Macaca mulatta: one gene and its partner. The protein of the gene in region 1 binds, or shares a complex with, the protein of each later gene. Links are inferred from orthologs where the notes say so. Each region holds a gene or a part of one and is shown on either strand. Other genes may lie near its edges.

Region 1 (3,649 bases):
AGGCGCGGGCCGCAGGCAGCTCAGGCTCCAGGGCTTGGGTGTTTTCGGAGGCTCCAGGGGTCCCCAGTTGATGGTGGTGTGCGGGGTGCCGTGGTGGGAGGGGTGGGGGAGCGTGTGGTAGGCGGGCGTCAGCGGCGCGGGCTTGCTGTCTGCGTGCTTGCTGGACGGAGTGACCGGGTGGGAGGGCAGCTGCCGAGGGCACAGAGCGGGAAGGGCAGAGAACGTGAGACTTGCATGCTCACCGTGAAAGGGCACTATCACGCACTTCCTTCCGCTCTTTAAACACTCCATGTGAAATAAACCCCAGGATTTATCATTTATCATTTCGTTCGAATCTCTGGCTCTCAGTAGTTTTTGGGGCCAAGCACCAGCTCGCGCCACTTGGGCTGAGCATGGGACCCCCCCACGGTGTCTGCCCCAGACGGGAGGGGCAGCTCTAGCTGGCGCCCCAGCACTCGGACATCCACTAGCCACATTTATTAGCTACGGAGTAACATTAACAGAAAAAAAGGTACTTTATCTAGTAAAAAGATGAGAATTTCACAAAAGCACACAGGGCATGTGGCTGTAAGAAGGAAGGTGATTCCCCCCGGTCACGTATTATTCTTCACCTGGTGATGAAGTACTGGGTGAAACTAAGGCCCAATCGCCTAGTTTTGTTTTTTAAAAAAGTTTTCCTGGCACACAAGCAGGCCCGTGCCTGTCTAAAGCTGCTGCTGTGTTACAAGGGCAGAGTACAGCTGCAAGAGGCCTGAGCCTGTAAAGCAGAGAATGTTTACCATCTGGCTCTTTCTAGAACACTGCCAAACCCTGGTATAAAATCAGTTATTTTCTTAGAAAACTCAACTTTAATCAAAACAAAGTTAATTGAAAATTAACTTCTTAGAGGAGGTATGTCATTAATGAATTTTATATTCCTGGGAAACCCGAAATATCCCATCACAATGACAGTTAAATGAGAAAAGTTAAGTAAGTCTCAAAATCAGCCAACAATGACTTCAAATTAGCCAACAATAGTAAGGCGCGTTTAATGGGAGAACAAGCTGTGTGGCGCTGTGAACTGGAAACCTGAGTGGGGTCGGCATTCTGAAGTACACGACCTTCAAAACAGGCTGAGAGGGAAGGCCCCACAGCAGCTAATGCCACAATTTCAAGAACAGACGCCATCAACTTTCTGCAATGATCACATTCTAGTCCCTGCATGGGGGAGGGAATCGTGTGAGATACAGGTCATGCTATGAAGCCACCGTAACGTCATCTTTTCATAGGAAATAATGTATAGATGGAGAAAATTATGTAAGACATCCCTCCTAGCAACAACGTCAGAGTTAAGTAGTGTCTGGTTTTGTTTCTCCTTTCTTGAGAAAGTCAAAGGAAGTATGCTTTATGCTAAAATTAGAATATGACTTCAGTTGGACAGAGTTAGATCACAGGAGAATACATCATCCCACAAAAGAAACTCTGTAGGAGAACGCAGAACATTTTAAACATGAGGCACAGTGCCTTCCCCGCCACCAGTGAAAGAAACACTAAGACGGAGGGTCTGGCCGCAGAGAAAAGCTGACTTGATGTAAAATTGTATGAAGTAGAGTTTCAGGCTGCTGTTGAAAATCTGAGTGAAGCAGCTCATCCACTGTTCTTTATAAACACACGTGTACACATGTCGCTGGGATAAACTGATCTCCACGAAAGAATGGAGAATTTTAAAACGGCAGAGCCATTAAAGATGAAATGCTAGCTAAAAGCCAATGAGTAGTTATCTGCACACTGCTGAGAGAAATCAGATGGACTCTGAAACTGATGAGAATATCAGAATACAGCAATCCTTCTTGATCTACAACCTTCCCATGAAGAAGAAAACATGAAAACTGAGCACACGACAGAACTGATCCTAATAACCTAGTAAGGATGTGAGGGAATCTGCAAGCTGAAAATGCCGTGTCATCGCCACTCATTCTTTAAAAGCTCTGCCCAGTTTTTCGGTATTACTTGATAAAGATGACGACTGTTAAAACAACCCGATACCAACTTCTTGAGCAAAAAACACCAGGAGAGGTTTAAACACTGCAACCGAATTCAGTGTTCATCTATTTTGAAAAGTTGTAATTCTCTAAAAATTCAAAGAGTTGCTGAGCTTTTCTAAGTAAAAGACACCTCAATTTCTTAAAATCAACAGTGTGTCATAAATTCTATTTTAATGCCTTCAACATGAATCTGGCCCTTTTCATCATCATAATCATTTATTTTCGTTTTCTTAAATGAAGCATAATAAACAGTTAAAATTCTCAGAAAAATCATCTATAGTTTAGTGTAAAACTCCCCTAAATTAGTCTTCTAAGGCCACGCTGAGCAAAAGCAGCTTCCCACCCAAGCACCTCTGAATTGTGCGTGAGGAGGCACAATTCAGGGTTGTTTCTCGAGAACACTCATTGGAAAACAATTCACTACTGCACAAAGAGGGCCAAATATTTTCAGAGAAATATCAAGCAAGCGTTTGCATTTTTATCCCAATATTGATCAGGTTTTAAAGCACGTGATCACTTGCTGACAGCTCAGCCACGGGATGCCACGCCTGGAGTCTGGAAGGAGAAGAAGCGCCAGGTCCTTACGGTATGAGACGGCACCGAATGAGGCTTTATGGTGGGGTTTCCCACAGATGTGACCTTCGTTTGCTTCTGTAGGTGGTCCACCCATTCCTGCAGATCCTGCTGGTTGTTGCATGACACTAATATCCGCTCGATCATGCTCCCTAGAGGAGAGAAGGAAAAAATAGGCCGAGTGGAAACACAGGTAAAAAGCGCGTGCATGCACACACAGCCCCCAGAATTCCACTCAACGCTTAAACACCACCTTCTGAAATATGCAAGCAAGAATCTGCACGCGGGGACAAGCTGCCTCTCCTCCCCGAGACACGGCACTCACACAGCTTGTGCCTATCACCTGATATTTCAAATGCATTTCTATGGTTTTCACTGTCCTCAAGCTTTGTGATTGTCATTCCTGTCGTTGGAAGCTTTCCCTAAAAAAGACCCCCCCACAAAAAAAAAACAATTAGTGCTTTTCTAGAAAAAGGTACCATTATTAAAGTAATATTAAATGATTTTAGAATTGGTGGAGGAACTGTTTGTGAACCAAAAAGAGTTCGTTTGTAGCAGATGCATGTATAATACAAAAATCTTTATCTCAAATAATAAATCATATTAATACTATACTGTAAGCAAGAAACTCAACTGGCGACAAGGGACAGACTGACAAGCCCAAACACACACTGCATCTGATGAGCTGCTACTAAACAGACACCAGGACAAAAAATCTCACATTATGATTTTTTAAAAACTACCACGTGTAACAGTTGTTTTAAACGATGTTTTTGCAGAAAAGCAGCATGTATTTGCCTCATAAAGAAATACAGAGGAAGCTCCAAGTTTAAAGTCAAAATAAGGGTGGGAAATTGAGGCAAGAACAAGAATTGCCTAACATTCTACTTTATAATCCACCAAACAGAAAATAAGTAGTTGTGCTAAATGCTGCACACAATGCAGAAAATGGTTGGCAAACCAATGCTCCCTGAAAATGGAAGAAATCAGTAACTGCAACAGGAAATGTCAATGGAAAAGATACCAGAAACGGGGTACAAAGTGATCATTAC
Region 2 (3,649 bases), on another chromosome or scaffold:
GACCTGTGGTTCTCAACCGGGGAGCTTCTGTCCCCCAGGACACACTTGTCAACGTCTAAAGACATTTTTGGTTGTCATGACTGGGGAGGGGAGTGCTACTGGCATCTAGTGGTAGAGACGGGGGATGCTACTCAACATCCCACAGTGCTCAGAACACCCCCCACAAACCAATGAATCACCAAAGAATTATCTGGCCCCAACGTTCAGTGGAACATAGCATGAGCACGTATCCTAAATGCCCTCAAATATCCTAGTGGCCATGTTAAGGAGAAGGGGAAAATAATTAGGTGACATTTATTGTAACAACATACTTTACTTGTAACAGTGTATCCAAAATGTTATCATTTCAACATAGAATCAATACAGAAATTATTTTTTTTTTGTGTGTGTGTTTTTTCTTTTGAGACAGTGTCTCCCTCTGTCATCCAGGCTGGAGTGCAGTGGCGGGATCTCGGCTCACTGCAACCTGCACCTCCTGGGTTCAAGTGATTCTCCCACCTCAGCCTCCTGAGTAGCTGGGATTACAAGCGCCCGACACCACACCTGGCTAATTTTTGTAGTTTTTTGTAGTGACAGGGTTTCACCATGTTGTCCAGGCTGGTCTCAAATATCTGGCCTCAAGTGATCCGCTCGCCTTGACCTCCCAAAGTGCTGGGATTACAGGTGTGTGTCACCACGCCTGGCATTTTTTTTTTTTTTTTTCTGGGCGGAGGGGAGACAGGTCTGTGCTCTGTCACCCAGGCTTGATCTCAGCTCACTGCAGCCTCAAACTCCTGAGCTCAAGAGACCCTCCCACCTCAGCCTCCCAAGTATTTGGGACTCCAGGCACCCACCACCATGCCTGGCTAACTTCTGTTTACTTTTTTATAGAAATGGGGAGTGTCTCACTATGTCGCCCAGGCTGGTCTGGAACTTCTGTCTTGGCCTCCCAAAGTCTTAGGATTACAGGCTTGAGCCACCACACCTGGCTATAGACATTTAAATTCTCTCTTGTTTTCATATGGCATCCTTGAAATCCAGTGTGTATTTCGCATGTATGGTGCATCTCCATTTGGGCCATCCATGTTTAAACTCAAGTGCTCCTGGTCCGTACCTGGCAGGTGGCTGCTGTCCTGAGTGGTGTGGGTTTAGGGTGGAGTATTTATTCCTGAGGCTCTTAGCATAGTACCTGTATCCACTCATGGTGCCCTTAATCTTTTTTCTCTCTCTTTGTCCTGCACCACTGGCCATCACCCACAGGAGACCTGTGCCAGGATCCTCCTGTATCGAGGTGCCGACAAGGATGTGAAGAATAACAACGGACAGACCCCATTCCAGGTCTGGGGCTGCAGTGGATATACTGAAGTCTCCAGGGCTAAGGAAAGGCTGACAGTGACACCCAGTGGATAAGGAAGGGGACAATGAGGAAAGCAAGGAGACAGGCCGTGGAGGGGGAGCTGGAAGAAGAGGGAGGGCGGCATTGTCAGGGTGGAAGGTTTGGGTCGGGCTGGGGACCTCAGCATGTTTCCTGCCCTTTCTCTGCTCCCTGGGCCACCCCGCCCCCCGCCAACCCACCTCTACCCCCTCCCTCCAGGTGGCAGTGATTGCTGGGAATTTTGAGCTGGGGGAGCTGATCCGAAACCATCGAGAACAGGATGTGGGTGAGTGACAGGGAGCTGGGGCTGCACAGAGAACCTGGGGCGGCTGGGGTTTCATGGTAGGATGGGAGAGTTGGGGTACCTGACTTGAGGGCCAGGATAGGATGGAGAAAACCCTAGAGGACCAAAAATGTCTGGGTGGTGGTTGGGGGAGCAATTCCAGGCCCCCCGCCCTTTCTCATCTCTGTCTTTCTCCCTCATGCCTCTCTCCCACCATCTCTCGCCCCCGCATGGCCCCCTGCTTGCCTTTTCTCCCCTAACATCTGCCCCCCGCCGCCACTGTGCCCTCTCAGTGCCCTTCCAGGAGTCCCCCAAGTACGCGGCCCGGCGACGGGGGCCCCCGGGCACAGGGCTGACAGTGCCCCCGGCGCTGCTGCGGGCCAACAGTGACACCAGCATGGCGCTGCCCGACTGGATGGTGTTCTCCGCCCCAGGGGCCTCGTCCTCTGGGGCCCCTGGCCCTACCTCAGGGTCCCAGGGCCAGTCGCAGCCCTCGGCCCCCACCGCCAAGCTCAGCAGCGGGACCCTCCGAAGTGCCAGCAGCCCCCGGGGTGCCAGGGCCCGCTCTCCATCCCGAGGGAGGCACCCTGAGGACGCCAAGAGGCAGCCCCGAGGCCGGCCCAGGTAGGGGAGGCAGCCCTGGCTCCACAGTCCCCAGCCCCGTCAAATCCCCTCCCCAGAGCGGTGGCTTCCCCCGAGGCCAGCCCAGCTGCCTTCCTCTGTAGGCCCTCATCCATCCAAGTCCCTAGTGTCACCGTGGGGTAAAGGAAGGGCCTTGGGAGCTACTGTCCCGACTCCACCCCCAGTGCACCACGTTAGCTGGACATCTGCTCCACGACAGGGGCCCCATGCAGAGGATACCCCAAAGAAACATGTGTCCCAACCCCTGGGGACAGAGAATGACAGGGTGAGGTGGAGGGAAGCCGAGCAGGAAGAGGATGGGGGTGGTGGCAGGGACTTGGGTGGGGGACAGAGAGGTCACTCTGGAGGGAGGATGAGGAGTGGGCGGGGGACATTCCGGGGTCAGGAGGCCCACATGGCTAGAGGAGGGTGAGAAGGAGGTGGAGGCCAGCCAGGCGTGTCCCGAGGAAGTGGGGGAGAGGCTGGCAACGGCGGGCAGAGGAGTTGGACCTGACCCAGGAGGAAGCTGGGAGTCGCGGAAGGCTCGTGAGCGGAGGGATGACACAGTCCCAGCTCAGCCTCAGGAAGCTGAATCAGGCGGTGCGCACAGGACCGTGGGAGGGGGCAGAGCCGGAAGCCAGGAGGCAGGAGAGGGGGCTGGGGGCAGCTGCGGGGAGGCAGAGGAGCCCCCAAATGCCCTCTTTCCTGGAGGACACCAGTGCTGGGAAAGCCCCTCCCCCCACCTCCACCCTGATGCTCCATCCTCTTCCCCCACCCAAGGACCCCTGTCCTCCCAGAGGTGTTCCCTCCCTCCACCCTCCCTTGCCTCTCATGCCCTCTGTGTACACAGCTCCAGCGGGACACCCCGGGAAGGGCCAGCCGGGGGCACGGGGGGCTCAGGGGGCCCCGGGGGCTCCCTGGGCAGCCGTGGGAGGCGGAGGAAGCTCTACTCAGCAGTACCCGGACGCTCCTTCATGGCTGTGAAGTCGTACCAGGCCCAAGCCGAGGGGGAGATCTCCCTGAGCAAGGGCGAGAAGATCAAAGGTACCCAGGGTGGAAGCAGGGCCTGCGCTGGGCTGGGCTGTGGGGGCGATCAGGGAAAACGTGGAGCAGAGAGCAGACCATTCTCAGATACCCAGAGTATCTCAGACCTCAGAGAGCCCTGCGGCGCCCCTTGAGCCTTGAAGGAGCAGAGAGTGTAGCTGAGATTACCCTGTCAGGAGGCAGTGCTGAGGCAAAGGCAGTGAAGTGGGCTGGGTCCCATTGTGGGACACTGATGCCGTGTGCAGGGCATAGTTGGAACATCTCACCAAATTGTCTCATTAGACTCCTCATGGTCCTTTCTGGGGAGGGAGGTCATGGGCCACATTGCATGGTTGAAGGAACAGAGC

Evidence for each region.
Region 2: the proteins of ARHGEF7 (region 1) and SHANK1 are in contact, whole or in part, in a crystal structure (PDB 3L4F), measured with the Rattus norvegicus proteins. The link is inferred for Macaca mulatta from reciprocal best matches to the Homo sapiens genes ARHGEF7 and SHANK1. Residues at the interface, in XP_063131056.1 of Rattus norvegicus: Asp735, Ala737, Trp738, Asp739, Glu740, Thr741, Asn742, Leu743; in NP_113939.2 of Rattus norvegicus: Gly673, Phe674, Gly675, Phe676, Val677, Leu678, Arg679, Gly680, Ala681, Lys682, Phe696, Glu703, His735, Arg736, Val739, Ile742.

What each region holds. Positions count from the first base shown.
Region 1 is NC_133422.1:105,634,349-105,637,997, reverse strand, and holds part of ARHGEF7 (rho guanine nucleotide exchange factor 7), read right to left. Parts: intron 3,020-3,649; coding exon 2,941-3,019; coding exon of another isoform or gene 2,851-2,940; intron 2,750-2,850; coding exon 2,610-2,749; intron 190-2,609; coding exon 1-189. UniProt on the Homo sapiens protein: Acts as a RAC1 guanine nucleotide exchange factor (GEF) and can induce membrane ruffling. Functions in cell migration, attachment and cell spreading. Promotes targeting of RAC1 to focal adhesions. May function as a positive regulator of apoptosis.
Region 2 is NC_133424.1:63,096,700-63,100,348, reverse strand, and holds part of SHANK1 (SH3 and multiple ankyrin repeat domains protein 1), read left to right. Parts: intron 1-1,239; coding exon 1,240-1,317; intron 1,318-1,573; coding exon 1,574-1,640; intron 1,641-1,930; coding exon 1,931-2,261; intron 2,262-3,108; coding exon 3,109-3,302; intron 3,303-3,649. UniProt on the Homo sapiens protein: Seems to be an adapter protein in the postsynaptic density (PSD) of excitatory synapses that interconnects receptors of the postsynaptic membrane including NMDA-type and metabotropic glutamate receptors via complexes with GKAP/PSD-95 and Homer, respectively, and the actin-based cytoskeleton.